Lytechinus pictus: one gene and its partners. The protein of the gene in region 3 purifies or fractionates together with the protein of the main gene of each other region. This does not show direct contact. Links are inferred from orthologs where the notes say so. Each region holds a gene or a part of one and is shown on either strand. Other genes may lie near its edges.

The links.
Region 1: the proteins of sequestosome-1-like (region 3) and cyclin-F-like purify together in Homo sapiens (affinity purification with western blotting; 3 studies listed by BioGRID). This does not show direct contact. The link is inferred for Lytechinus pictus from reciprocal best matches to the Homo sapiens genes SQSTM1 and CCNF.
Region 2: the proteins of sequestosome-1-like (region 3) and DNA repair protein RAD51 homolog A purify together in Homo sapiens (affinity purification with western blotting; 3 studies listed by BioGRID). This does not show direct contact. The link is inferred for Lytechinus pictus from reciprocal best matches to the Homo sapiens genes SQSTM1 and RAD51.
Region 4: the proteins of sequestosome-1-like (region 3) and histone deacetylase 6-like purify together in Homo sapiens (affinity purification with western blotting; 6 studies listed by BioGRID). This does not show direct contact. The link is inferred for Lytechinus pictus from reciprocal best matches to the Homo sapiens genes SQSTM1 and HDAC6.

Annotation. Positions count from the first base shown.
Region 1 is NC_087254.1:27,030,124-27,038,085, reverse strand, and holds the start of cyclin-F-like, read left to right. Parts: upstream 1-4,949; 5' UTR 4,950-5,023; coding exon of another isoform or gene 5,024-5,089; 5' UTR 5,090-5,529; coding exon 5,530-5,536; intron 5,537-7,076; coding exon 7,077-7,288; intron 7,289-7,778; coding exon 7,779-7,888; intron 7,889-7,962. Other genes in the region: protein HID1-like, read right to left, coding at 702-728, 1,583-1,744, 3,027-3,176, 5,024-5,089. UniProt on the Homo sapiens protein: Substrate recognition component of a SCF (SKP1-CUL1-F-box protein) E3 ubiquitin-protein ligase complex which mediates the ubiquitination and subsequent proteasomal degradation of target proteins.
Region 2 is NC_087251.1:40,097,195-40,104,546, forward strand, and holds the start of DNA repair protein RAD51 homolog A, read left to right. Parts: upstream 1-4,345; 5' UTR 4,346-4,351; coding exon 4,352-4,504; intron 4,505-7,352.
Region 3 is NC_087249.1:39,147,008-39,154,478, reverse strand, and holds the start of sequestosome-1-like, read left to right. Parts: upstream 1-4,468; 5' UTR 4,469-4,823; intron 4,824-6,675; 5' UTR 6,676-6,687; coding exon 6,688-6,859; intron 6,860-7,224; coding exon 7,225-7,320; intron 7,321-7,471. UniProt on the Homo sapiens protein: Molecular adapter required for selective macroautophagy (aggrephagy) by acting as a bridge between polyubiquitinated proteins and autophagosomes.
Region 4 is NC_087247.1:75,156,883-75,164,658, reverse strand, and holds the start of histone deacetylase 6-like, read left to right. Parts: upstream 1-4,765; 5' UTR 4,766-7,776.

The DNA of each region.
Region 1 (7,962 bases), on a different chromosome or scaffold from region 3:
TTTCTCTCATCCACTATGGTGGGTAATGAATTATCCCTTTGAAATAAACAATACAAAACGAATTCCTAAAAGCAAAGAAAGGAAAAGAAGGGGGAGAAATCCAATCTGACTTTCAATGTAAGACACTAAGTAAAGCATGTGAACAGTATATTGTGAGCAAAATTTAAGCACTTGGGATAGATCATGAGGGAAAAACAGGCCCTGTGCAGACTATTAGGCCCAAATTCACAAAGGTGATTTTTAAAACCATCGGTTGAACCTGTGGTTTATGCAGATTTCCTGTATAAATTATGCTTTATATTTACTACGTATATTAAAAAATGTCCAATGCTGATGCACGCTTTTGTCACAGTGCGCCAAATTGATGCATGTTGCCATGGTTTAGCATACTATTTCATTCAGAAGTCCACTGTTTTGAATCAATAAGTCCACTCTTCAAACAGTGGACTCATGAATAAAATAGCGTAATTAATCATGAGAACAGGCGGCGTTTTGGTGCACTGTGACAAAAGCATGCATCAGCAAAGGACAAATTTTAACATACGCGGTAAATAATTGTAATTCATACAGAAAATCTGCATAAGTCATGGGTTCAACAGATGGTTTCAAAAACCACCTTTGTGAATTTGGGCCTACATGAAATTGTCTGAAGCAAACCTACAAGTTAGTAGAGGAAGGGAAAGAGCACACAGCAAACTTACAAAGTCATCCACCCCATCCATGTTTGCCTAATCACCAGAAAGAAAAAAAAGTACCATGAAGAAAACAAAAGAAGATAGTATTAAGATTAAAGTCAATGAAACCATTCTTAGCATATTGAAAAAATGCCATGCTTACATACCAGAGTGGAGTCAAATTTAATAAGATACATGTATGTAAGATGAAGCAAAGTATACTTTCACATTTTGAAGGAAGAAGATGGGATAATATTTACATTTCAATATTAGGAAGTCCATCCAAAATGAAACCAATATAGTCACACAAAAGAAAAGATATAGAATATCAAAATGAAATAAGATGTACACTGTACATTTCTGACTTAAGCATGATTGTCATTAGAATACTAAAGGTTGCCGTTTTACAAAAAGGAAAGCAAAACATTCATGTTTTCTTCATATGAAATTAAAAAATGTATCAATTGGCATGCTTGGAAGTTGCAGTTTCAAGCGATTTAATCTGAATTGTCACTGATTTCATATTTTCTTATAATTGGATTTCGTTTTTTTTTGCAATAGTACATGCAGCATGTTTTTTATAGTACCATGCCATTGCTTCATGAGATTTGCAAGGAGACAGAATTTTCATTTGACATCATTGACATGTAATAAAGAAAGCAGTTTTTTTTCCTTTAGAGGGAAGAATAATAAAGGAAACATGCCATGCACCTCTTTAGTTGACATATTTTTTTTACAAAGGCCTTCTAGAAATCCCACAGCATTCGTTTCTTAGCAATACATCTGACACTCTGTAAATTGCCCATTTGGAATAATAAGAATCAATCAAATATCTTGAACCTAATTGCTGGTCAGCTTCCTGTACCAGAAAGTTGATTAGGCACAGCTCGATATGAAAAAAAACTCACTGATTGGCCAGGCAAGGTAGACCAGAAGAATCCCCTCCAATCAGGATCCTCAAAGATATACGGCAGGATGCGGGTGAGGAGGCGGGCTGCATTGAGTACCACCTGCTGGTCTCTAGGGGCGGAGCATCCAGACTCTGCAGCTGATACTAGCTTCTCGACAGCCTACAATAGAAATGGAAAATCAATGAAAAATGATTCAGTGCTTCCAAACCAACTTGATCAGTCCTGTATTTATGCACTTTTATACAGGCCTAAGAATACCTAATAAACTTGTTCACACCCAACTGAACTTTCAGATAATGTTCCAATTCGTTATGAGCAAGCAAGTCTATTGCATTCCTATACAAAGTACATATAACTAAGCCTGTAGGCCTATCTTGTCTCACATTTGAAGAACTTATCATTTGCTTTTACACTGCAAAAGAACTCTACACCTTGGAGAATTCCTAAGAAAGGTCTTGTAATTTTAACAAGTTCCTCCAAAGATATTTTCTTTCAGAGATATTACAAGTAATTTGCTTCACATTGGCAAAATAACTGGTATTATCTGATGGGTAGCATTACAAATGAACTGGTGAGTAGAGAACCTCATATTAATTTCCATTTTACCCAGACATACATGTAGTTACTAACAATATAATCACTAATTCAGTGTTGTTCTTCAGGGTATTTTATACAGGAACCTCTGGTCATCTCATCGCTTGTCTAGAACTTGATACATTTATTGTTCTTTGTTTTGTGTCGCTATATTCAAAGTGAAAATAGTTCCGTTGGTTTAATACAATCACAAGGCCCCTATTTAGAATTTCTTTATTAATCTTATCCAATATTATCAATCAAATGATTGTCGGATTGTGTTTTCAACTGTCAAAGTTATATGTTTCGACATTCTATTGAAAATGAAAACTTTTGGTGTACATATTAAAGCAAGTGTGGAAATGTCTACACTGCGGTTTACTGTTTTATCAGATGTAACCATACAGTGTTAATTATGGTTTAATCCGGGGGCCTCATTTGCCCCATTGGGTATGTTAAGTTCATAGGCTTCCAGTAAAAAAAAAAGAGGGAAAGCGGTAAATATTAAAACAGTACTCATTTGCACAATAATTCCTTACAAAAGTAAACTAATATAGAGATTAATCACACTACTCGGTGGATACAGTACTCGCCTATATAAAGTCATGATGCTACTTTCTAAATGCTGATTTTTGACTTTCTGATAGGTTTGTACTCCTCCTGGCCATGTGCATTGGGCCATGATATATTGTTTATGCTTGTGATATGTGCTATTAAAGGAACTGTCTCAAATACCACACAAACACCGATCCCTTCGACACTGGTAAATTTAAGCAGTGAGCTAAAAACTAAGTGGGGGCCTTATTTACCCCGAGGCCTTAATCAACACTCTCCCCTATTTGTTCAGAGACTAAGCTCAGAGATATACCTTGTAGCAGAGAGTGGCCAGATTAGATGGTGATTCCTCTCTGAGTGCTCTTATCTCAGCAGCTGGGATGAGTGCAAAGACATCGGTCACGCTGGTAACGCTGTCGGCCCAAAACTGGTCCCAGAAGGCATCATCTCCTGCCTCGACAGGCTGTCATATAATAGGAACAAAGCAAACATGGAGGACTAGAGAAAAATTCATAATCATGATTTAATTTTTTTTACAAAAAAATTGTAATTTACATTATTAATAAGCATGCTACGATTTTCACATTAAAAAAAATGAGAATGGATTCTTTGAAGGGCTGCACGATCATGATATTCCATATAAGCCTCAGACAACACATTTCCTTTATTAGGGTACATGATGTCAGAGCTAGTATAATGATGCATAAAACTAAGAACGGCGCATATATATCTCTGTGCACAAGATAAGATATCGAGATAAAAGGTATTCTGAAAATTCTTTTATCTTTGCTTTCTGTTAACTTCCTTGGAAAATACAATAAAATTTCGAGAGGTAGCCTGGGGCTTTTGTAACTCAATGCTGCATGCCATATTTCTCAGTCAACAATTTTTTTTTTGCTGCATCACACAAGAACATCTTGTTTTCCAAAATGAAACATTCTGAAGATATTACAGAGACCGATTGGCAGACTTTGCAGCAATTTAAAGATCTCATTCGAGATGATGAATCTTTTCAAAGTAAATATGCCTGGGAGAACAACCACATGTAACCAGACTATCTAAAGTGACGAGGGGCAAATAAGCTACAAGTTTACGTCTCTACATCCAACTTCCAAGTAAATCCAAATAAGTAAGTAAATGTATCTTAGCACAGTAGCGCACAAGCACAAGCGTCAGAGGCATAAGGGAAATTACGCCTCAGCCCTCATCATGTCAATAATGGGCTAGCCTAAACTTAAGAGTTTTTACAGAAGAGACGCTTCTATTGGTTGAACCCAAGCATAAAACAACATGATTTATTGGTTGACTTGATGATGAGATATTGCGCGTGTCGGAGATGAAATAGGGGACACGTCCTTAAAGAGATGAGTTTTTAAGATAATTTTCAGAATACAGATTAAAGATAATTTTTGCGAACTGTTAATGTGCTGAGTTACATTACAAGAAAATTTACATGAATACCACCCCATTACAAGAAAAGTTACATAAATACCACCCCAGGATTACAATTTTTGGCAGTCAACGTGATCTAGTAAATTAACTTAACCTTGCTTAAGGCCAAGGAACATTTAATGACATGCAACGTTAACTTAGATCTAACATTAGATCTAACCTTAGGCCTAACTAAGTCATTAATCAACCACATTTTGAATTAAATTCTGGAATGAAAAGAAATTCATGTTTAAAATTACATTTATTTAAAAAAAGTTAAATGTTATTTAGTGCACAGTGACACTCACAGACATCCCCCTCCCCCTTCATTCTGAGCTGAGTTTCGCTTCATAATGTTTTAATGAATGACATCCAACCTTAAATATCTTTAACAATTTAATTCTAAGTTACTAAGTTAGACCTCCGTCAGATGTGCAATATTTAATACGCTTCGACGTGGCGCGGCGTAGCACTTTTTTCATAGTACAAGTAGGATGGGGGGTCGGGTGTCCGGACACTTTATTATATTTTTGAAGCCTTCTTTTTTTGTCTTTGGATTACACTAAAAATATGAATTCAATAGTTAAAAATAAGTTATATTATTATTAATTATTATAATCATCTTCGATTTTGTTCTCTCTAATATTTCCTAACATTTTCTACTAAAAATTGATGAAACTTCGCTTGTAAATTTTTCCAAAAGACTTTCTAAAATTGATCGTCCGGACACACAACAACTGGGTATTATTACTAGTACTAGTAGTAGCTCTCTACCAGCTGTGAGCTCGTGAGTTGTCCATGATTAACATGTGCAGTGAAGTGCATGCATGTCGAGCTCGAGTGTTGTTGTAATTTTTGTATTGGCCGATTCTCGTTTACCTGTGTTTTTGTTGTCAACTGTACGACTGCTTTCCTAAAATTCAGCTTGGAGTCTGTCCCTCCCATCTCGATTGTCACAAATCTTGCTTCTCACGATTGCATCAATTAATGGAATAACATTTACTTGTACAAGTATTATTTCGATTCTTTCTCGATTTCGACGTAGCAGAAATCAACGTAGCTAGCTAGCTTAGCACGAAAACATATACGATGACGTCACGTAGTCGTAAATGTGAAAGGTCATTCGTTTCCGTTGACCTCATTAGTGGGCGGATACTTCTAACCGAGCGCAAAATCTTTCAGCCAATCATGAGCTACGACGCTCATAACGGACGTAAACACAAACGGCTGGCATGTGTATTTTCAATGCAAGCCAACGCGCTAAACTTGAATGAATGAATGATGCATCCGCTCAACTGTGCCTGATGCGATATGTGTAAATATTCGTACAAATTATACTTATAGTCCTTTTCTTTTCCTGAGTGCAGTACTTTGTCTTCTAAAAGATGAGGGGTAAGATAAACACACATTCTTTTTTTATATATGATTTGAAGTTGAATGTTTTATTTCAAGATTTGTTGAAATATTCTAACTTTTATAGTCAAAACTCTTATTTTAAATTGAAAGCCTCTTGATGCAGTCGTTGGTGGGAGGGCACGCCGAAGCTTCTGGCTGAGCGTTGAGCCGTTGACCGTTAATTCGTAGGCTAGTGTTGCGGTCGTCCATCCATATCCGCTGACAGCCGTCCAGGCTCATTTTTTTTTTGGTTTCGTTGTTTGTGTTGCCTGACGTGGCAACATGCACACCCCTCCCTACTAAGTAAAGAAACGATTTATGATGGGGGACCCAAAGCTAGCCAAGCCCAAGGGCAAAGCAAAGGCGATTTATCTTATTCTTAAGACAAGATCTGACTTAATGACAAAGACAAATTTGAATTCAGAATCTGATGGTGTTGATCTCAGAATCTCAGAAAGGGGTAATCCAGACATCGCTTCATTAGCAATAGCAGGTATCATCTAGTAGTATTGTCTAGGTGTGATGTCGCTTCAGTGCATGTGCAATTTACTCTGGTGAATGTCACTGAATGACACCTTTCGACTCGTTTCGAGGTATTTATTTGAAGGACTGTAGCTGTGTGAAGTGAAGTTGAGGTTTTTTATCCCCAGGACCAGGTAGCCAGGAGGCTCCTAGTCTAGAGAGTAAAAATCATTTACTAACGTACATGTTTACTCTACACAGAGCCAGGGATTTGATTGCATTCATCTGCACGTACCGCCAAAAAACCTCAAACTTTCGCCCCCGAGATTTCTACTTTTAAAAGATCTAGCCCTAATTAAATCATGTATATGGGATTCAATTTCATTTCCAATATTTCTACGATATTGATTTCATTTTTAAACAAGAATTCATTCTAAAAACGAGAAAAATGTTATGAAAAGACGGGGAAAAGTTGCCACCGTGTTTACGTCGCCATCTTGATTTCATTGTCTTTCGCTTGGCGACAGCAGGCAAACCGCGCATTAGCGTGCTGTCGCCAAGCGATGGGTCATGTTTATGGAGTAGAAGATAAGTCAAGTACCGGTAATCTTTTTTTTAATTTCAAATTATTCTAGTGAAATATATTAGGGGCGATTACATGTACCTCCATGAGTCTTCACATTTTCCAATGAATCAGTGACCAACATTCCATGTCAAATTCTTGAAATTACTGTCTTGTCACTGACATTGTCAGGATTTTCACCCGCCTGGACATAACAACTGCTTTGGTCAGCAGGCAGGACTAGGTCTGGGACTTGGATGTACTGTAGGTAGTGGATATTCAGTGAGAGCTTGAGTTGAATAAAGAACTTATTTCTTGGGCAAAGATTTCCTTGTTGAGAGACCCCTTTTCCATACAACGGCATTACTCTTTATAAGTACATGTATAATGATGTATTGACTTATCGTGATGAGTAATCTGTACTAGAATTTATTGATTTCATAATCAAATCCATGCATTGTAGCTGTTTTATAGCACATGAATAATCTTCTTCTTTTTTAATGTAATTTGTAGATACTTGTAGCCGTACATGTACCTTGCCTGCAAGGTCATCATCTGAAATGGCAAAACAGTCACCATCATCATCAAGGTCAACCAGTCTCCATGTACGGGTTCTCAGGAGCAACAGTAAGCTGCCAAAAACCATGCTCATCGATCTCCCAGATGAACTCCTCATTTATCTACTGAAATTCTTACCAATGTGTGATCTCCAGAATATGTATAGAGTAAGTATCGATTAGGATTATCTGATTTTCAGATTGTTTATTTTCCAATCTCTTTGAAAGAAAACTGCCTTCTTTTCTCTTCTGTTTTCTTGTCATGTACTTGGGACATGGGAGAGGGTGAAAAATACTGGTACCTTTTTTTAAATACAAATACAAATGTATTTCTATGTGATCAGGTTCGAGTGTCATAAAAATACTGGAAAAGTTACTTGTGACTTTTGGCTTGAGCAGGCAATCCAAATACGCTATTTAAACATTATGATTTTGTATAATTTAATACTTATGATCTGTTGGACCCATTATTAATTAGAATAATGCAGTCTCACCAATCAGACCACAGATTCTTAACAGTGAATCATTTTAGTGTTTTAAAGTATTTTGTATGATAATCTGCCAATCAGTTTTTTTTTTCATTCTTGCTCTAAAAATAAGTGCAAAATATGGTAACTGACACAATTAATTTTAAAACGTTTATTGTTGACAATTACAGATAAACAAACAATTCAAATGGCTGCTAGACTCTACCCCAAGGATATGGGCCAATGCAAGTGTAGTCGGAAGGTGGCCAACCAACTCAACTGAAATGGAATGCTTCAACAGGTAGGAATTTTGACTTACAGTCAGGCCTGTGTACAGTGTATCACAGTATACTGATCTCACAATGTTATGGGCCA
Region 2 (7,352 bases), on a different chromosome or scaffold from region 3:
AATCCAATAAGAGTATACATATCTCACCATAGTCATCTAATGCGAGTGCTAAGCGCTTGCTGACTTTGTTTGAATAATATACATCTAAACACATGAAGCACTTTTTGTAGTCATTATAATCATGATCATCATATGCATCTCGATCACTAGTCAAATATTAAGAGCGCGAAGCGCGAGCTGAAAATTTAGGAAATTTAGACCTGAAGAGGGGCATTCTAAGGCCTGCTTGTAGGAATTCACGAAAACCATGCTTATTTTACTAACCAAATGATGCGAGCGCGAAGCGCAAGATGAAATTTTTTAATATTCAGATCAGAAAAAGGGACATTTTAAGGTCTGATTTTAGGAATTCATGAAGAACATACATATCTCACCAATCCACGAATGCAAACGTAAGCACGGACAGGAAATGGTTTATATTAAGACCTTAAAATGGGGCAATCACTTTAATTAAAGGTCAAGTCCACCCCAGAAAATTGTTGATTTGAATCGATAGAGAAAAATCAAACAAACATAACGCTGAAAATTTCATCGAAATCAGATGTAAAACAAGAAAGTTATGACATTTTTAAGTTTCGCTTATTTTTCACAAAACAGTTAAATGCACAACTCAGCGATATGCAAATGAGAGAGTCGATGATGTCCATCACTCACTATTTCTTTTGTTTTTTATTGTTTGAATAATACAATATTTCAATATTTACAAATTTGACAAAAAGGACCAACTTAACTTAACCATAAACTGTTAAAATAATGACAATTCTACATGTTCAGGGAGAAATAAAACTTTGTTTCACTTGAAAAGGAGGAGAAATTTAGAATATTTCATATTCAATATAATAAAATACAAAAGAAATAGTGAGTGGGTGACGTCATCAGTCTGCCAATTTGCATACCGACCAGGATGTGCATATAACTGTTTTGTGAAATTAAGCGAAACTTTAAAATGCCATAACTTTCTTATTTTGCATCCGATTTTGATGAAATTTTCAGTGTTTTGCTTGTTGGATTTTTCTCCTTTTTTTCAAATCTACTTTTTGTTGGGGTGGACTTGTCCTTTAAGTAGTCATGAAAAAGAAGCATATGTCAATACATAAAACAATAATAATTTGAAGTGCGAGGAAATATATTTTGTGTATATTGACTTGAAAACGGGAGGTTTTAGTACAACAGGATTATATATCTTGTTAAACAGACAATGCGAGGACCAGGAACAATGAAGACATAGCCTAGGCCCTGCGCAAATTAGGCCTATGTTTCATAAATTTATGATTTTTTAATGTAATATAACATAACATAATTATAATATGATATAACATTATAATTAGCAATAATTTATTCTTTCCCCAGTATGTTTCTCTCCCTTTCTCCCTCTTTTTCTCTTTTCCCCCGTTTTTTTTTTGGCCAGCCGATTGGGGGGGGGGGGCACGTGCCCCCCATGCCCCCCCCCGTAGTTACGCCACTGCTCCTCGATACACAAATAAATACAATAGCATGATTAGCAAGACGGAAATAAATTAAAGATGACAAAAAGGCAAACAACAGCTGAAAATGAAGGTAGAATGGAATGAGTCAAAATATAAATTGGAAAATAAAGAAAAGGAACAAGACATTAACACTGCCGGGCTGCCGAGGATTGAAGATAACGAGCGGGAAGAAAGATGGATAATGTCGTATGAAAGTCTGTTATTACTTGCTAGATCTCCAAAGCTACCGGGGGCTCTATCCAAGAGCCCATGTAAAAATCAAATTTTGTGATAGATTTTGACATAATGTTAAAAAGATAATATCATATTCACCCTCCTCTCTTTCCTTTTTTCTCTCTTTTTTTGTACGCCACGGTGAACAGGATTTTTGTTATGATTGTGAGCATCAGGGCGAAGCTCTATATGCTCGAGTATGGCGCGCTTCTGGCAAGAAGTAGCTTAATATAGGTCCCGAGCGAGCGAAGCGAGCGAGATAAAAAAAATCACCTTTTCATGAGAATCTAACATAAAGATAGATTTTAACGTGATATTCAGAAAAATATAATACACTTTCCTTTCTTTCCTTATTTTTTGTTTGGTTGTAGAACTTTTGGGGGCCTTGGTCCAAACTCATCCATATAACAGTGCTTTATGGGTGGGGTCCAGGGCAGAGCCCCGGAACCTCTTGATATCAAATCCATTTTAAACCCGTTACAGATGGCCACTTATTTTAATCAAATTGCGTGTATATTTATATAGCTGTAACACAACACATAAATTCAATGCAGTTGTGTATCGTAATCATCCAAATATTGTGAAGGGCACACCAAAGCAAATGTGGGAAAATTTGTAAAAAGTCGCCAGCGAGCGAAGCGAGCCAGAAAAAAAAATGGCCTGTTAAAATGAAATTCTAATTATGTGATAGATTTTTACATCATTATAGCAAATATCATGTCATATATTTTTTTTTTCATTCATCTCATTTCGCTGCCTCCTTTATTTTCTTTTATTTCCCCTTGGCTGAGGAACCACCCCCGGTACGCCAGTCATTCAATGTAAAGCTTAATGCAGGAAGGGTCCATATAGGGGCCCGTTATAGAACCCATTAAAGGTTACAGATGAAGAGCCCCCACTGCACGGGAGATTGGAGATTTAGCAAGTTTATGATAGACTTTCATACGACATTATGCTATATACCATCCATTTTTCTTCCCGCTCGTTATCTCAATCCTCGGCAGCCCGGTAGTGTACGTTATCTTGTCCCTATTCTTTATTTTCCAATTTAGATTTTGGCTAATTCCATTCTGCCTTTATTTCCCGCTTTTGTTTGCCTTTTTGTCATCTTCAATTTATTTCCCTGTCTTACTAATCATGCTAATGTATTTGTATATCGGGGCGAATTTTTCTTTCTCACTTGTTCTTTTTTCCTTCCTTTTCCCGTTATCTTTCCGTTTTCCCTTTTTTTATGTATTTTCTTAGTTTTCTTTTCCCCTTCCCCTTTCCCCTTTTTTCTTTCCTTTCCCTTTCCCTTTCTTCCCCCCCCCTTTTTTTTCTTTTTCCCTTTTTTTTTAATTTTCCCGGTGAGCTCCGCCAGGGGGGGCAGCTTGCCCCCCCTGCCCCCCCGCCTGTTACGCCACTGCCTTTAAAGGGCTCTATAACGGGCCCCTATATGGACCCTTCCTGCATTAAGCTTTATGTTGAAGCACTGGCGTACCCGGGGGGGGGGGGGTACCACAGCCAAGGGAATATAAAAGAAAATAAAGGAGGCAGCGAAATGAGATGAATGAAAAAAAATATGTATATGACATGATATTTGTTATGATGTAAAAATCTATCACAATTACAATTTCATTTCAAAAGGCCATTTGCTATGTGTGCCCCCTCAAAATATTTGGATTATTACGGTACATAACCGCACTGGATTTATGTGTTGTGTGCCCTTGTGTGAAAGCTATATGAATATAAACGCAATTTGATTAAAATTAGTGGCCATCTGTAAGGTTTAAAATGGCTTTTATATCAAGAGGTTCTGGGGCGCACTGTTTTATGGATAAATTGGACCATGGCCCCCAAAGTTCTACAACTAACCACCCCCCCAAAAAAAAAAGAGGAAAGAAAGAAAAGCATGCAAGCCAAAGGAAAACTGTATTATATACTTTTTTTAATATATCACGTCCAAATCTTTCATGTTAGATTCTCATATGAAAAGGTTTTTTTTTTTTATCTCGCTCGCTTCGCTCTCTCGGGACTTAAAAGGAAAGAGAGAAGGATGAAATATGATATTATGTCAAAATCTATCACAAAATTTGATTTTTGCAATAAAATTATCAAAATTTTTGCTCGCTCGCATTTATATTTCTTTGTACGATACACCATACCACCCCCTCAAAATTTTTGCCTCATGACGCCATTGCCTGTTCCATGATATGACCGGGAAATTTTTGGCTCTTGCCCCCCCCCCCCCCCCCCCTCCCCGGCCACCAACCCCTGTTACGCCCCTGTAAAACAGGACTTGTCGGATACAAGTCCTTCATGAAACTCCCTTGCTTTGTTGTAGTTCCAATTTAGGGCCTAAGTTTTCATTTCAGATGGTAACCTTACAAGATACCATATTATATAAATACGGATGACTAATCGCCACTCCCAACATAACAACAAGAAGAGAAGTTATTTCATTTAGACGATTCCATTTTAATTATAGGGGTTATCTTGTAGATGATGATTATTATTATTATTTTTAACTTGGTTTAGCCATATCCATGAAAGTAATTTTTGAAAAAAATAATGAATATTTTTCACAGTTTTATTTCAGATAGTATTATTTCTATTTTTTTTTTTCTTAGAAAGACTTATAAAAATCTGATAGACCCTATGGGCAGGCGCCTATGCCCCGAAAATATTTGCAAGCTCCAGCTAGCTCCAGATATGCAGATCCAGCCAGCGCGCGTTCTACAAATTTTGGTAACTGCCCTGTAATTCACGGCATAATTAACCTCGCAAGACCGACGTATTTTCACACTTTCAAAGAGAAATCAGAGGTGATATTTAATGATTTATTAAACCTTGTTATTGTTTTCATTTGTGTTATGATCTTTCATTACTCTCAGCTTTCTTCACTTCTTCATTACTTTTAATCTTATTCACTTCTTGTGTCTGTCTGACGTGTTCACCAACCATTTTCTTGCCATCGGCATCGCACTGACTGGCCGCACAAGGGACAAGCAGCCTACGGTATATCGGTAGGGTGTCTGAAGCCACACTGAAAAGTGTCAGCATAAAACAGGCTGATTTAGGGGAAAATATGGCACATTTTTTCGGGGAAGTTCAGGCTACTAGAAAAATGTGATCTGAATTGATTATTAACTTGTGTTTGGCATGTATGGAAAGAGAAAATTCAGGGGCTTCTTTTGACAGTAAGGACAAGTTTATATATATGATCATTTTAAATAAGGAATAAAGGATCATTTACCGTAAGGGTACTAGTATTCAACCCGTTTGGAGAGTTTCCTCAAATATATAGAAATATAGAATTTACCTGAATTTCAGACCCGTCTTATTTCCAAGAGCAAATGCTGGTTATTCTTTTTCCGTTATTTTTTTCTTCAACCAGTTGACTGTGTGCGCGGGCGATCGAATTATACGGCGACGGATTTTAGTACTAGTATTCAACCCGTCGGCACTAGTATTCAACCTAGCGATGAAAGATGGCCCTGTCTCTCAATCTGCCCTTGTCCCATCCGACTATGGACTAGACCATTTGAGATGAGACCAAACAGGGAATTAATCAAAGCCAGAGACTTACATAGATCTAGATCTAATTTAGCAATCTAAACCCTTTTGAGATTTGCTATCAATCCTCACTAGGTTGAATACTAGTACCATTCAGTGCAAAAGGCCATCGCCGCATAATTCGATCCTCCGCGCATACAGTCGACAGATTGATAAAGAAAATACCGACAACAGATTACCCTGGACATAACAAAGGTATGAAATTAAGATAAATTCCCTATTTCTAAATATTTTGGGGAATATGTCAAAATCTTTGAATTATGCCGGGTTGAATACTAGTACCCATACGGTACTAGACTTAGACTTAGAGGTAAATTGCAACCCCTTATTTTTGTGTGTGTTGAGATTGCCATTTCTCCATGCGTTTTCTATGGGAAAATGAAATTTCTGTTTTGCACAATTTTTTTCACTTTGTCGCAATTTTTCATTGTGATCTGGTTTCCAAATCTTTATAAAAATCATACCATCAGATAGAGCATAAAAAATCCTATTCATTTATTGGACTCTAATTATGGACAGGTTTTTGGCATTAATAATAAATTTATAATTAACAGCTCTCGGAAGCTAAAAATTTGGATTTGTGTGTGTCCATTTCTTAACTACACAGTCTATGGCAGAGAAATGCTGAAAATTTACCTAATTTCATTCTTCTTTTTTGCAGCCAATAATTGGATTTTTTTCAAAAATGTTACATTTCTGTCAGTCTGAAGGTCATTTCTCTTCAAATTCACAAAGAAAATGTGATATTTTCTTGAAATAAGAAAAATAATTTTTTTCTCCAGACACCCTAAATTTTCTAATAGCGGTACCCCTCGGCTCTCCACGAAAAACAATTATTTTCGTGCGCGACAAATTATGATTCCAGACGCGCGTCGGACGGGTGAAGATATTAAACAAATACCGGTATATCAGGCTTTGAGAAAGTATAGTGGAATTATTTATCCGAGGTTGGTCTGACAACTACTAAATACTATTTTTCCCGAGGGGCGAAGCCCCGAAGGAAATAGTAATTAGTATGGCAGTGTATCCTATTACCGGACACCTTTATTTCAGTGCTTTAAAAATGAAAAACTAGAGGAAATACAATCAAGAAATATTTGCACTTGCTATTCCAAATATTATGAAAATTATGAATATGATAAAATTATTTCATATTTACCAACCGTTTTCTTTGCATCGCAATTGTCGCATACCCCTCCACGAAAAAGTTATTTTCGCGCGTGACAAATTACATCATGATTCCGGACGCGCGCCGGACGGGTAAAGATATTCTTCATTATAATGATGTAAGAAAGAATTTGTGTGAATTTTTCTTCATATATCATATCATGCATAAATTCTAAGCTTATGTTTTGTTTTTTTTCACATCAAATCTGAGCAGATGTTGGTAATAAATTTGTGTTTGATAAATTTTATTTTGACTTCTCAGCTGCATGTTCCATGCCCATGGCACTTTCCAATACTATGCTCGTTCGTATCGTAACGCTCATCAGGTTTGATGCGCTGTCGATCGATGGTCGACGGCTATAGTCACGGTAAACCTCGGGCACGGTATACCTCGAGTCTAGCCGTCGGCGATTAACCACAATACACCACACTTCATCATTCGATCGAAGGAGAGGACGGGACTGAAATTCGGCAAAATCAGGCCCATTTTTCCATCAGAAAATATATCAATTGTTAATGCAAAACTACGTTATATGATATTTAAATCATTTTCTGTCATTTTAGAGATAAATAAGGTAAAAATTGGATTTTTTCGCCTTGTTTTAGCAATCTTGTTCTATGAATTGCTCTGTGAAATTGAATTGCGGAAGTCTTACGGTACAAAATTGTTTTCGTACGCAGTACTATGCGCGTCCGGAATCATAATAGTGTCCGGTAATACAATACGTAACTGTACTATAGTTTTGCCAGCGCGCGCCAGTCCAACCGAGTATTAATAATTCCCACTACTCACTAGGCCTATATATTTCTATGCTTTCGAATGAAACGCCTGATATATTTGTTTTATATCCTACTTTTGATAATTTATAACCAAAATCTATGCGCTGAGCTTGCAAAGTCCGGTTACTTGCGTCAAATTACCTACTTTTC
Region 3 (7,471 bases):
TTCATGATTTTGCCCCCCCCCCCCAATCTGAAAAATTGACAGACGCCCCTGGCCCTGAGGGGAAAAGACTGAGGGATGGAGAAGAAAAAAGGTTGGAGCTAGCTCCATTATGGTTAAGATTAAAAAAAAAAAAACATGAAAGGAGCCCAAAATGAGACTTACAAATTAATCACTTATTTTCTCTTTTATTTCATTAAATGAAATATAATATTCTCCTCATTATGTGTTCAGAGTTTTATTTTTACCTGAACATGTGGAATTACCAATGTTTTTACACTTTATTCGGTCATCTTGGTTCTTGATGTCAAATATGTATGCAATATAATTCAAACAATTAAAAAACAAGAAATGTTGAATAAAAGGCCATGCACAATATTTTCTCATTTTACATCCGATTTGATGAATTTTTTTGCGTTATACTGGTTTAATATTTCTCTGATTCAATTTTTTTTCCACATGTGCTATCACATTTTTGGTTATCGCGTAGGGTCGGGCAATTGCGAAACCCGACCATTCGAAAAAAAAGAGCCCCCTAGATTTCCGAAACGTCAGGTCCAGTTTTACCCGATGTTTTGTGAAAATTATAGCAAAATTCTCCCAGTCAGCCCCCCCCCCCTAGAACCGCGCCTGCCTTTTCAGTTCTGAATATCAAAAACAAAAATTCCAGCTCGTGCTTCGCACTCGCAGTATTTGACTAGTGAGCCTAGCCTACTTCTTTTTATTATGATTAGCCTATACAATGTTTAAAATTTTCCTGTTTTGGTCTCAATCTGAAAATTTTCAGCTCTCGCTTCGCGCTCACATTATTGTTTTAGATATAGGCCTATATCTTCTTCACATTCCTACAGTGCGAACAGTGTTACTTTTCTGATCAATATTAAAGAAATCAACTCGCGCTTCGCACTCGATTATTTATTTAGTGAGATAAGTGACATGATTACAAAAGACCTACTCAGAATTTGTAGACCTACTATTTTTAGGTCTGAAAATTCAATAAAAATGTCAGTCCCACTGAACACATGTCCTTAATCAATGTTTCTTTCATGTTAGTGTCAATCAGCGCATGATGGCTATAGTGAGCGCGCTCGACTGAGCGACTCAAATGATTTTTTTTTCGTGCCCCCTCCCCTCCCCGCCAAAACAACAGAGGAATTGTTATTCCAATCAGTAACACAATGATCCGAAAATTTTGAGAGGGCAATCGATGCCGTATGAGACATTTTTCCTTTAAAAATATATGGAAATCTAACTTTGTGATAGATTTTATAACACAAAAGTCATGTTTCCCCCTCCTTACTTTTCCTTTGCTTTCTTTTTTCTCTCCCCCCCCCCATATTTGCTGTACGCCAGAGATTCCGAAGGTTCTTATAATGAAAAAAAATATAAGATATAAGATTCTTCCTATATTAGGCTTCGTTATACAGAAAATAAAAATCGGATTTGTTATTCCGAAGGTTAAGGCCAAGTCCACCCCAGAAAAATTTTGATTTGAATAAATAGAGAAAAATCAAAATAGTATTCACTGAAAATTTCATCAAAATCGGATGTAAAATAAGAAAGTTATGACATTTTAAAGTTTCGCTTATTTTTCAAAAAGTAGTTATATGTACAATTTAGTTACATGCAAAGGAGAGAATCGATGATGTCCCTCATTCACTATTTCTTTTGTTTTTTATTGTTTGAATAATACAATATTTCATTTTTTTTCAAATTTGACAAGAAGGACCAACTTGACTGAACCATAAAATGTGACAGGTATTGCGAGGCGGACATGTTTGTTATTATCGGGGTTATTATACGAATGTTCAATGATAACTTAAGGTTTGCTATATCGTTATGAATACTGTATTGACCAGTCAGACTGCATGTCCCAAGAAAGTGGCTTGTTTCATCCAAGTGATATTCATGACTTGAGATGTTTTGCATATTTAATGAGCTTGATGCGGACCAAAACACCTCTTTTCATTCGGTCATTGCTGCTCTAATTGTGCATCGAATTTCATGAATTTGGTACCATTGTAAAGAAAAAGAATCATTCTTTCAGGTCATGTGTTTGGATTTATTCAAAGATTTTGTAATATAGGTTAAAATTTTGATCTAAAATATGCTACAAAATAAATATTTTCACCTGACAAAAGCTGCTATTTTCACACTTTATTTTTGTTTGAGCCCAAATGATTTTTATATCATGATAAAGCTGAATATGTATGCTTTGAAATGATATAGGTTTCAAAATAAGAATTGGTTTAATCGGGTCAAGATCACACTTTTCATTTGCCAAGTACATAAAGCAGCTTGAAAACAAGAATACTGCACTCTGATTGGTCAAAAAGACCACACAATGGCAAATTCCAACGGTTCCAGTGCCTGGGTTCGTGGGAAGGTCACACTTCCCATGTGGTAATCTCCTCAAATACCCCGCGCCTGTTGTTCTGTGAACCTTATCCAGCCAATCAGAACTCTGGATTTCATGCAAGTACAAAATTTCAGAAATCTCGTCTTGTACCTTGGTGGGAAAAGTGTGATCTTGACCCGATTAAAAGGTGCCGCATATCAAGAGTGGCATTGTGAGAAAGTACAGAAGTTTAGCTTCATGGTGATATAGATATCATTGAGGCTCAAAATAAAAAGTTTTGCACAATTTGCAAAAGAAAACAGAGCAAGAAAATTCAGTTTTGAGGCACATTTTCAGGCCAGAAATTTACTTATTTAACAAAATATTGTATACAAAATAAATGACCAATATGAAGGAGTAACTTTTACTCTATCTGATGGTGCAATAATATTTCATTTAACTTGAGGTTAAAACAGGTATATTCTTAGAGAAATAAAATCTCACGAATCACGAGATTTTGCAAGGAGGAGGATTCAGCCACGAGATGATTTGGATGAATCTGGCCTTTTTGCTCATTAGCATATAGGGACCTGCGGTCTGACTGAAGATAAAGTTCGTTACTATTTTGAAAGAGCGATGTCACAAATGAAAAGGGGTTTGTTATTCCAAAGGTTCGATAGTACGAAAATAAAAATAGAATTATTGTTATCATTTTAAAACATGTTCTTGTATCGTTTTCGATAAAACAGAGTTCATGGTGCCACAATATTACGGGGCAGGGCGGGATATGTCCCGGTGAATAAACATTAGAAAAGAGAGGGGCGGGGAGAAAAAAAGGGAAAAGAGTATGGACTGAGAAGAAAAATAATAACAGGGCATGAGCCTACTGAAAATATACGTTATATAATTGTCGTGACTTCATTTTGTTGAAATTGAATTGAGGTACATTTTAAAGATTGAGGTTGCTTAAGAAGTTTTTTTAATTTATCTGTATCAATTATTGTTTAAGGGTGACGTCATAATATGTTATAACCCTTATGTCATCTTACCCGGCTATATCCCGGCCCCTATCAAATATGCTGGCAACGCCTACTTATTTTCCTTGAATTGTGTTGTCATAATCATCATCATGCATGTCATGTTATGTTTGTTTCTTGACTAATGCCCATTCTTTGTGGGGGTTTTACTTCTAAAAAGGACGAAATATATGTCAAGTCATGATTAAAATTACTATAAATACTTTTAAGAGGATAATTATATTCAATTTCTGTACATCGATTGCGTTCAAATTCCAACAGTTTTTTTTACCTATTCATTAAAAAAAAATATCTTGCTTTACTTTGTTTTGAAAATCTGGTTTGAGTGAGAAAAGGTAATTAAGAAACAGAAAATGTTGTCATTATTGCGCCTTTCCCGCGACCATGAAAAGTATAGGCCTAATGAACAAGCACGACAATCATCTCCTTTTTGATAGGCCTATAATTTATCACAAAAAATAATATATATTTACCGCAAAGATAAAGTTCAGTTATTTTCATGAAACCTGTATTCATCCCATAAAACGATTCTACCTATCGATATAAGAGAGTCAAGTGAAATATGAGTTATATTTTTTAATCAAATTAGCCTGTAGTTTCGATCATCAGTAAGCTTAGGAGTTAGGTTGTCTGTTTCATTAATTTTAATGTTTTAGGCAATGAAACTTATTTCTTTGCAATATTCTCTTAATAGTCTTGCTTAGTCTTGGCCTCTGTTGCATAAATCTGGAGGAATAATATGTGAGTCAGCGATATTGAAAGCAGATTATGAAACGTTCCAGAACGGAATCTTTGGGGTCGTGTGAAAAAGGGAATAACAGAAAACACTGCACATAGTCTGCAAGTACAGACATCTCCTTTTAGACTTTTCGCACACTGCCCAGTAGTGCACATTGTAGGGTCTGAAATAGTGGGTCTAGATTGACTCAAATATTGTGGCGGATTTTAAAACTTTATTTTAATTGATACAGACAGAGAGTGTTTATTCTAGTAGTCTTGACCTGGTTTAATTTGTTTAAGTGTCAAAGTATAGTCTGTGTTTGCAGACTAAGCAACGTTCGACGAGACAAGTATCGATGACGTTATGTTCTATTTTAAGAAACGATGTAAACAAACATTGAGCTGTCTTTCGCTCGCTCGGACGAACAAATCGATCGTTCCGTTTTGGAAACGTAATGTCTACGTTCAATTTCGCTGAGTAAGTCCGGATTCGAGTGTTCCAGAAACGTCTTGCATTCGGGTATATAAAGGCAGCCACTCCCAGTCGACATCCATACTGCGATTCGGTAGAATCTCCGCAAGAGGCAACTGAGTGTCAACGTCTGCGTCCGACGTCAAAACCATCGATAGTTAATCAGAAACTACTAAGAGTAAGAATTCTACGCCGGCCCGGTAGATAGAGATATTAGACCACTTGTTAATTTCACTTTTGATCAGCCATATACAAAAGGGTAAATTGTTATTCTCTTTCTAATTCTACTTTTATTTAGGATCTATTTCATTAGACTCGATCGGGACAGTCTCTCTGTAGTGTAGGGTCCATGTTATACATAGACATGAGCCGAGATCGAAATTATACCCCAGTTAATATACCCCCGATGAGGCATGAATGTAGTATTTACTATTGCCCTGCTCATGAAATAATTAGTAGATATTCACTGCTCTTTAAGGACGTTCCACAGTTATGTTTGTGCGCATTATGATTTGCGCATAGTTTACACTCTGCGCGCTGACGTCACAATGGATGAACAGGTGATTAATTAGCTGCGGGTATGTGCTGATTTTTCTCATCTTCTGCACTTTAACTGCAGATCCGATGCGTTATTTCATGAAGCTAAAAAATGGAATTATTCCATGGACCATTCAAAAAAAGATTCTCTACAATTTCAAAATACTTTACTCTGCAATGCTGCCAAGAATCACAAATATTACCCCGAGTTTGAATAAATGGTAGAGTGGTTTTGATTTTTTCTTCACATAGATACAAAGCATTCGGCGCATTTTTGGTGTTTTACAAAGCACATTTGCTCTAATAAAAATACTGATAGTTTAAAAACAAGCACATGACCCCTATTTTTGAATGTTTGTTCCTCTTAGGTATACCTTCCTCTACAACTCTACAAATTTTGGTGAAAATGACATGGATTTTGAATAAAGTGCAGCATTTATTGTACTTTTGTAGTTTGTTACTGAAATTTCACATTTTTTAGATTGGGATTTTGTTGTCTTTTACGCCATTTTTAAGAACTGACAGTGCTGTTAAACATAAAATTGCAAACAAATAGCACTATAAATATATTCTCCATTATCTAACGATACAATTATTAACTCTCTTGCGAAATTTGATGACTTTTTCATGTATTTTGACTGAGTATACAGGTTTAAACTCATTGTAGTAATCTTGGGCGGTCTAAAAATGCCAAATTCTTTTGAATGCGCAATTCTTAAGAACATCAATTTGGGTGAACTTTGAAGTTCTATAGCAAAAAATCAAGCACATGGACCTATGTTAATTTTTGCATATTTCGAATATTAAGGTTCTAAAGTATCTATGTGCAAAGTTTGGTGAAAATGACATGGATTTCACTTTAACTGTGGAACGTCCTTAATTGCCTTTCTCTCGTTTTTAATTGTTATAACATTGCCTGGAAGAACAATCTTTGTTTGTTGAAATATATGGAGATACAGGTGTGAGAGCTCAACAGTGGCATAGGAATTAAAAATGGCAAGCAGAAAAGGTTGAAAAGAAACTGGATATATATATTGTACAATAAACAGAGTTTCTGTTTATGGTAACTCCCGCAGGAACTCGGCAGGACAGCGTTTTGCTGGTAAACGCCAAGCTGGTATATAACCAATTATCTAGGAAACATTTTACGTCTAGGTTAATCAGTCATAGTGGCTAGGACTTTATATAGACGTCAGATATTAATCTCGGGCCTTATTTCAAAGGGGAGACAATGGCAGCTAGAGTATAGGGATTCGAACTCACAACCTTGCGATTATGAGTCCAATGCTCTAACCACTGGACCACACGACCCGTTAACAGAGGGGTATAGGTAAAATGTGAAATATAGTAAGCCACCAAAGCCATGTCCTGGGATTCCTTATTGATTGCATGGCCTCAATTACCCTACCCCCCCCCAGCATTGGATTAAGATATTTTTTGTGACTTAAAAAAATCCATTTGTGATTAATATGGTATTAATATATGCCATGTAGATCGAAGTATAGTGGCCTTGCCTTAATTTTGAGTCCTGAAACAGATGATAATTATTATACAATAACCGTTCTCATTTTCAGATTCAACGCAACATGTCTATGACAGTGAAAGCATACCTGAAGCGGGGAGAGAACGCAAATGCAGAGATCCGTCGCTTTGTGATTGACGTTGCTGTGAGTTCAAACTATGAATACCTTTCCAAGAAGGTAGCTCAAGTATTTCCGTCTCTGGGTGAACCCGACAATTTCACTCTCTCCTGGAAAGGTAATTTTTTTTTCTTTTATTCATAAACATTATGAAGTTATAAATCAATTCCACTGGTCCATTCATTTTTCCAATTCACTGAAAGAAATAATACAGAAAATAAAGAAGTTAAATATAAATGATAATAAAGTTCTATTAAATAAATATTTTTATAATACACTATATGATCAGACAAATGGGTGGTCATGGTCCCCCATCTATTTTTTTTTCTTGCTTTTTAACTTTACTTAAATTTGTTATAATGTGATAGTTTGACATTACAAACACTATAAATGTATATGTGTTGGGGACTACATCAGTGATTCCCATTCTCTTATTTTGACAAAAATTGTTTGATTATGTTTTTTTTTTCTCCATAATTATAGATTCTGAAGGAGACAACATCACTTTCTCCAGCGATGATGAGTTGGTAGAAGCCTTGGGTCAGATAAATGATGACATCTTCCGGATCTATGTCAAAGGTCAGTTTGTCCTTGTTATCAACAGTAGACTGTTATCATGAGTATTTTCAGTAATGACATGATTAATATTATCATCATCGTTCTTCGTATCATAAATATTAATATAATTTCTGTTAGAAAAATGAAAATAATTTGATAATATGAAAATGAT
Region 4 (7,776 bases), on a different chromosome or scaffold from region 3:
ATGGGACTGACCCACCAGTTGGTTACTCCGCGCGAGACCATGGCTGACGTCATCACTCAATAAAATAAACAAGTACAAAAGAAGAATCAGCGTCAGTGCAGTTGACAAAATGGAAAATTTGAGGTAGTTTCATAGTAAAATACGAGTACGAAGGAGATTTTGCGTCCCAGAGATATTTACACATGTTCATCACTGAAATACATTCTACAACATCGGAGGCTTCACGAAAGCCAAAAATTCTGAGGAGGGTCAGGACGTAAAAAACAACATTCTAATGAAAAATTCGATCTCCGATCCGGCTAAAATATTGCCTAGATCTAAAGCATTATTTCAGGTTCAATTTTTTTCGGATTACCACATATTTCATATCAAAATAAAGCTAAAGATTTCAAGATTTACTTACGGTTGCATTCTTCCATCTTGGCTTTTCCAGTGAAGAGTATGACGTCATTAGAACGAGACCTGCATGACTCTCGTGATATCTCGCGATCTACGAGAGTCCCGCTAGATGATTTTCGGGCGGATGGGATTCTGAATAAATTTCAGCGATCGTGCTCATTAGCATACGCGTGGCGCTCTGACTGTTTGCACACATACCAAATACGTCACAATCTGATTTGACTCAACAAAATTACAAACGGAGGAAGTTGCAGATTGGTCATTTTAGGTATGTCTGTCTTTCTTACGTAGTTAAATCTTTCCCTTCCCGTACATGTTTTAGAAATTATAATAAGGTGAAAAAGCATACTTTGAGCTTTATTTTTATGCAAAAATCATTTGCGTGTTTACAATGGTCTTGATAATATAACGACGAGTCTGCGGGGCATTTCTCTGGCGATTGTCGCATCGTGGAGTACCCTCTGGTGCCCCACGTACCGTACTCCTATTTGTGTAAGTTGAAAGTGAGTGTAATGAATGACGGGAGCTCTGTGCTCGCTCAGCTCTTGTCTCTGGATCGTTTTTGGAAAATAGCAGGGGCCGCGGAGCGAATTAATTTAATTTACAAACCAGTAAAAAGGAGAATAAAGTACAAAAAATTGTTATTCTACATAATAAAGAACTTAAAAATAACATGTTTGGGACCACAAAGAAGTATACCCAGTTCTATGTCAGGATGATTCATTTTAAGTTACAAAGTCATTTGGAAAAATTTACAAGCGAAATTTTACAATTTTTAGTACAAAAAATAATTATGATTTAAAAAATATTATAGAGAACAAAATAAAAGATGATTACCGGTACAACTATTGAATTAATATTTTTAGTTTAATCTAAAGAAAAAAAAGAAGGCTTCCAAAATATAAAGTGTCCGGATACCCAACCCCCCCTCATTTCTAAAACATTCTATTTATATTCTAAATATATTTAGAAACACGAAATATCATGATTTTTGTTAGATTATGGGATTTTTTGTTTGTTTTAAGATTGAACTTTTTTCTTTCTTTCTTTCATATCCTTTTTTCTTCATCATTCTATCCTTCCTCTTTGCCCTTTTTTTATTCCATCTATCTTTATTCCCTATCTTTCTTTCCTGATCTTCTCTCTGTTCATTTTTCTTTCTTTCCTTCTTTCTCCTTCCTTTTTTAAATTTCCTTTTTTCCCTTCATTTTTTCTTTCCTTAAACTTTTCTTTGCTTCCTTCTCCCTTTTCTATTGGTTCTTTCTCTCCTTCCATTATTTTATCTATATTTATTCTCTCCTCCCTTTATTTTTTCCTCCCTCTCTTTCATCCTTTCTTTTATTCTTTATTTTATTTTTTCCTTCTACTTTGTGTCCTTTTTTCTTTCTTTCCCTCCCTCCCTTCCTTTCTGTTTTTCTTCTTTATTTCTTTCTTTCAAAGAATGAAGGAAACATTTTTCTTTTATTCGTTCTTTCTTTCCTCCTCCTTTTTTCTTGCTTCTTTTTTTCTTTTCTCTCCCTTATGTTTTCTTTCATACATCTTCCCTTCCTTCTTTTCTTTTTCTTTCCTTCTTAATTCATTTCAAAGAATGACGGAAACGTTTTTTTCTTTTATTCTATCTTTCATCATTTTATTCTAAAATTCCTTTTTTAAAATATATTTTCCTTCATTTTCCCCTTCATTTTTTATTTCTTTCCGTTCTCAATTCAACTCTTTTCTTTCGCCTTTTCATTCCATCCTTCATTCTTTTGTTCACCCCATTCTTTTTGTTCGAACACCGTGTAGCCTCCTTTGTTGATCTTTATTTTTAAAGACCTGGCTCGGTCGATCCGCTCATGCAGCGTACTTTGTCGATTGTCCCGTATTTCTTTTTGTGAAATCTGGTCACCCTGCATTCAGCTGGTTCCAAAACCAGATTTTCGTCTTCGAAATCGTGAGCCGCCATGTTTGCATAAAATTCGTGAAACCGATGTGAAATGCATTATGGGTGAAAACGCTACTGCGCAAGCGCAAACCCGAGCTGTCGACCGCGTCGATCAACTTTCCTTATCTGAGTTACGAGCGGCCTGTGTATAATGCGCCGTGAGGGACCCTGCTGAGAGGGGATTAGCGGTGCCGCGCATGGGGCAAAGCGTTTGAGAGAGTCAGATCTCCTTCTGTTAATAGCTCTATGGTTAGAGTAACGTACGATATATTTCCATCCTCAAATTTTGAAAATTTCTGGATTTTCAAAAGCCTTTGGGGAAGAAAAAAAATATTTGGGGATTAAACAAATTTTAGGGATATTTTGTCTATTTAAGGGGACTTTTGAAGGTTATAGTGAAAAACAATAAAATTTGCAATTTTCTGTCAAATAACGCTGATAAACGATCATAGAGGTGAAAAAGTAAGATTTTTAAATATACATCCACATCTATGTAGGCCTATACAATCTACTGTAGATAGTTAATGGCTTGCTTAACCAAGGAGGTTTCAAATGAGGTGGAGTAACAGCAAATAAAATCTCTTTGAACAAGGAAAAGAACCGCCAGCAGAAAGTATGTCAGGCATGCACTTTGCTCAACATCTCTTGCAATTGTGTAGACAAATGATTCCCGCATGCCTCCGCAGCTATAGGTCATACATAAAGGGCAATATGCTTTTGTGATGATAATTACTTTTCGCCGCATCTTGGTCTGGTTATATGTGTAGTACATAATTCGGAGGCATGCGAAAATAAACTATGCAATATGTCCTGAAATATGACTCAAATTTGCTCGACTGGGCATGTGCGGGCACTCATCTGGCATATACAGTAATGAATAACAATATTCCACTGACCACATTTGAAATTTCCATTCGCCGCAAACGATTGGAAAAGTGTTAAAATCTGGTTTCAGTAAAGGTCAAATTGTTTCTTTTTTCACTAATTAAAGGTTAATTGATATAATATGGGCAAATATCTCGTCGTAATAGTGCTTGGTTATTGATGTTTTGTCATGCATTCAAACTTCAGTTTGTTTATTAATATGAAACATGAAAAGTTGATACAAATGAATATTCGTAAAATTTCACCCCTCGGATTTCTTCATTGAAACTGGCGGCTTCGAAGGCGGACATCAAAAAGGTCCTTATTGCCGTTCTTTCTTTTGTGCTTCTTTAGAAATGAACAGCTGCTTGAATAAATTTGTTGCCTGTTGGAACTCTAGTCATAGAATCTTCTTGGCTTAACCCAATCAGGGTTCCCAATTTTTCAAAACAAAAATCCCTGATTTTTCTATGATGAAGTTTAAAAATTCCCTGATTATTATTTAAACCTATTCCCAGTTTCTCATGTTTTTTAAGTTGTTGCAGTGGATTACTTGTATTATTATTTTTTTATATACATGTAGGCCTACTTTTATGTTTAATTATGTACCATGAGGCCTACTTGTACTGTAGTAAAAGAGGCTACACTAAAAAAAAAAACACCATAAAATGTCATTCAATGAATGTTGTTTTAATATACAACAAAATATAACAGTGTCTGACTGGCTATCGTGCTTTCGACTTTTGGGCCGATCAAGATCCCCTGATTTTGCCCTCATTTAAGGCATTTTCCCCTGATTTGAGGTAATTCCCTGATTTTTCCCTGACTGGAATAATAAAAAAGAAATCCCTTATTTCCTTGATATCCCTGATGGGCTGGGAACCCTGCCAATCCATTTTAAGGAGGAGGCGAAGAAGTAGTTAAAAAAACAGAATTAGAAGATTATATAAGATTAATGACTACTGTGGTGATAACTGATAAAGATCGGCAAGCGTAGGCTATACTATGTTATTACACGTCAGAATGAGTCATGGCTGCCACCAAGATGGTCGATGTGATGTTGTCGCAGCTAACCCAATAAACCTGTATAGTGTTATCAAACTGGTCTGTTATATGCCTCCAAACTCACTATTGAAATAACTAAACAAAATATTCATAACAATACATGATCTAATGGCTTTGTAACTTTTGGAATACCCAAGCTGGATAACTATTGCTTATTTTACATCAACTTCAAGTATTGTCCATAACATATGGTGCATACTTGTAACAATGATTTAAAAGAGGCATAAACATGTTTACCAGATACGTATCCACACAATTATAGTAATTCGTTCCTTTCTTCATAATGTTATTCTGATAAAACCCTGCCATTCGATCATTATAAGCTACAAGGTCCCCAACTTATTGTTCTTTAAATGTGCATGCAATGATGTAATGATGTGCATGCAATGATGTAATGATGAGTATGATATAGTTTTCATCATCATCTATATTATCGATATATACCGGTAGGCCTAATTATAAGAATTATATTTGATTAGAATAATTCATTTGATGAGCAACTATCTCGTCATCGATAGACTTTCACGTCGAGGTTTTGCGCCCAGCAGCCCTACCCCAGCTCTACCCCTCCGGCCCGTCCTCCGGATCCTGGCGTCATGTATTAACTGATCCATGATATGTATCCATTACTTACAATATTTGTTAATTCTAAAATCAAATAAATGATAATGAATTATTTGATTTGATTTGATTTGATTTGATTTGATTTTATTCACCAACGATAACAACATATTTACAGATGTTTACATATTACATTATTATGTCATGCATATAAATATTACAGAAATGAAACATACATGTATATGTTAAGAGCTGATAAAAGGGACCAGAAAATAGCACAAGTGCTAATCGAGCCTGGCCCCTATACATATTAGTAATATAGGCGAATATTGAACTTTAAAGTATGTTTTTTTTAAAAAAAACAACAAAAACAACAACTACAAAAAAAAAAAAAATAATAAAATTATGAGTGTAACATTTATGTTATATACAGAGCAATATGATAAGTTATTGATTTAATAAATGATTTTGTAATGAATTCCTGAAATCGTTTCTGGATACTTTTAGTTTGATGGCTAATGGTACATTATTCCAGTAATCACTTCCTAAGAAAGATAGAGAGAATTGTCCTTGAGTAGTCCGTAATTTTGGTAAATGTACTTGTCGACCTTCTTTTTGTCTTGTTGGGTATCTATGCTCTATTACATCGCAATAATCTACTAAAGAGTGAGGTAAGTTATTATTACCCAGGTCATACATGAAGGTACATATAGATAAATTGTGCATTTCAAATACATTTAGGATCTTTAAATTCTGAAATAATACACGTGTATGAGCTCGCCACTCACTGAATGTGATGGCACGTACTGCCATTTTTTGGGTGTAAAATATACAATTTAAGCTACTCTTGTAAGTACTCCCCCACACCTCGATTCCATAAGTTATGTGTGGCTCTATGAATGCCTTGTATAATAAATGGACATTAGACCAAGTGTGAATTAGACCAAGTGCCGATAAGCCCAACTGGGCATTAGACCAATTGGTGATTAGACCAAGTGGTCATTAGACCAAATGGATTAGACCATTTGGCTATTAGACCAAGTGGTCATCAGACGAATTGTATATTTGACCAAATGAGAATTAGCCCAACTGGTTATTAGCCAAAATGGAAATTAGACGAATTGGATATTAGACCAAGTGGGAATTAGACAAATTGGATATTAGCCGAACTGGTTGCAGACGAAATGAGTTTAGACGGTGTAATGTTAGAGGCGCACGGCCACTTTATAGTCTAAAGTATTGGGAGACTCTCTCCCATATTGGAGACTTGGGACAACGTGAGACAGGTTACTGATATATCGCTAAGTGGCAAAAACATGCGCTTATCGACAGGACTAGATCTAGGTTATCGATAACAGCACTAATTTGTTGTCACTTTAAATGATTTCCAAAAAGTGTTAGCAATAATAATCTAAAAGTATGTTTTTGAAGGTATTACATTTATTGGTGTCCATATTTTATCAAACAATTAGCCTGTAGCCTTGCGCATGCAATGAATTTAGACACAGTTATAAAACGAGCTGAATTAAGGTTGTGAATATCATTAGCACCACCATCGAGCTTCCTTTTATTCTGTGAAAGAGGATGTACATTAGAATGCAAAGCCACTTTCCAGGCCGAGGTAAGCGATTTTGCTCTTTTTTTTGTATTGGTTTTAACGTGCATAGGTTGTGACTCTCCTATACACGGGACCAACATTTGCGTCCTTTCCGATGGACGGAGTGTTTTCCAACTGCATTCACACCCTCACTGAACACAGCGGTGAGGCACGCTAACATACAATGCTAGCATAAGATTTTTTTTGTTAAACGTCTTCCGGCATGCTGCGGGACTCGAACCCACGCACGTTGAGATCTACGATCTTATCCGGAACAGGCGCTCTAACCGACTGAGCTACCCTGCCTCCTGAAGAGTTCCGGTGAGTAGTAAAAAGGTGTTTCGGCAAATTTTATTTCTGTAGTGTAATGAAGCGATGTTTGTCGACTTCTTCAAAATCCAGACCCAAACACGGTTCGGTGTGCGAGGTTAGTATAGCATACTAACCTCGCAATCGTATGAGTGGTCTAAAGTGTTACGCGAAGTCAGTGAAGTGTTCTGTCTTCCCGTTCTAGAGTCTTTCATTCACTCAGAGGTTGAAAAGTTCAAAGCATGTAGATTTTTTTTTAATTGTTTTTTACTTGTTGCTGCTTAGAAGTAAAATATTGATTTCAAAAGTGCCAATATTAATTGGTGCCCACATTTCAGTTGCACATATGCTGGATTTGGACAGTTATAAAACTACCATGGGGCTGAATTAAGGTTATGAACTTAATTAATGCCACCATTAGAAACCCTAGCTGTCCGAAGAAACAACAAATGGTACACCAGGTTGTATTATAACTTTGTCTTCCCAATAAATAGCTAAAATCAATGGGTTCTGACAGTTTTTGTCTAGATCTGCTCTGATCTAATGGTTGATTGATAAATACTAAATTTAGGAACCCAGTCATTTGACTCGGTTCCTAGTTACATTTATTTATCATGTGCCAAGTCCTATGCACAAGGCTGATTGGTTTTCCTTATTTATATTTGTAGAAAGAAAAAATTTGTGCAATCGATTTCTGTATTTTTCTCCAATAGATGGCCTCACAAAAAATGCTTATTATACCAGATATTGTGCCCCAAATCTAACATTTATCCACTAGAGGAAACAGGAAAAAAATATAGAAATCTGTTTCTTCATGTGTTTATGGACATTGAAATGACTGGCTTTAGGTAGACTTCAAGGTCTACTAATTTGTTGTATGTCTGAACATGATGTAAATCTCAACAAGAGCAGAATCTTCTGAGCTTGCAACTGCAAGCCATATATTTTTGTAAAATGTACATATTGAATGCTCTTACTGTACTACATGTAACATTATTTCTGAATGACAGAATTTGAGATACTGAACTTATACTGAAATTATATTGTGTAAATACAA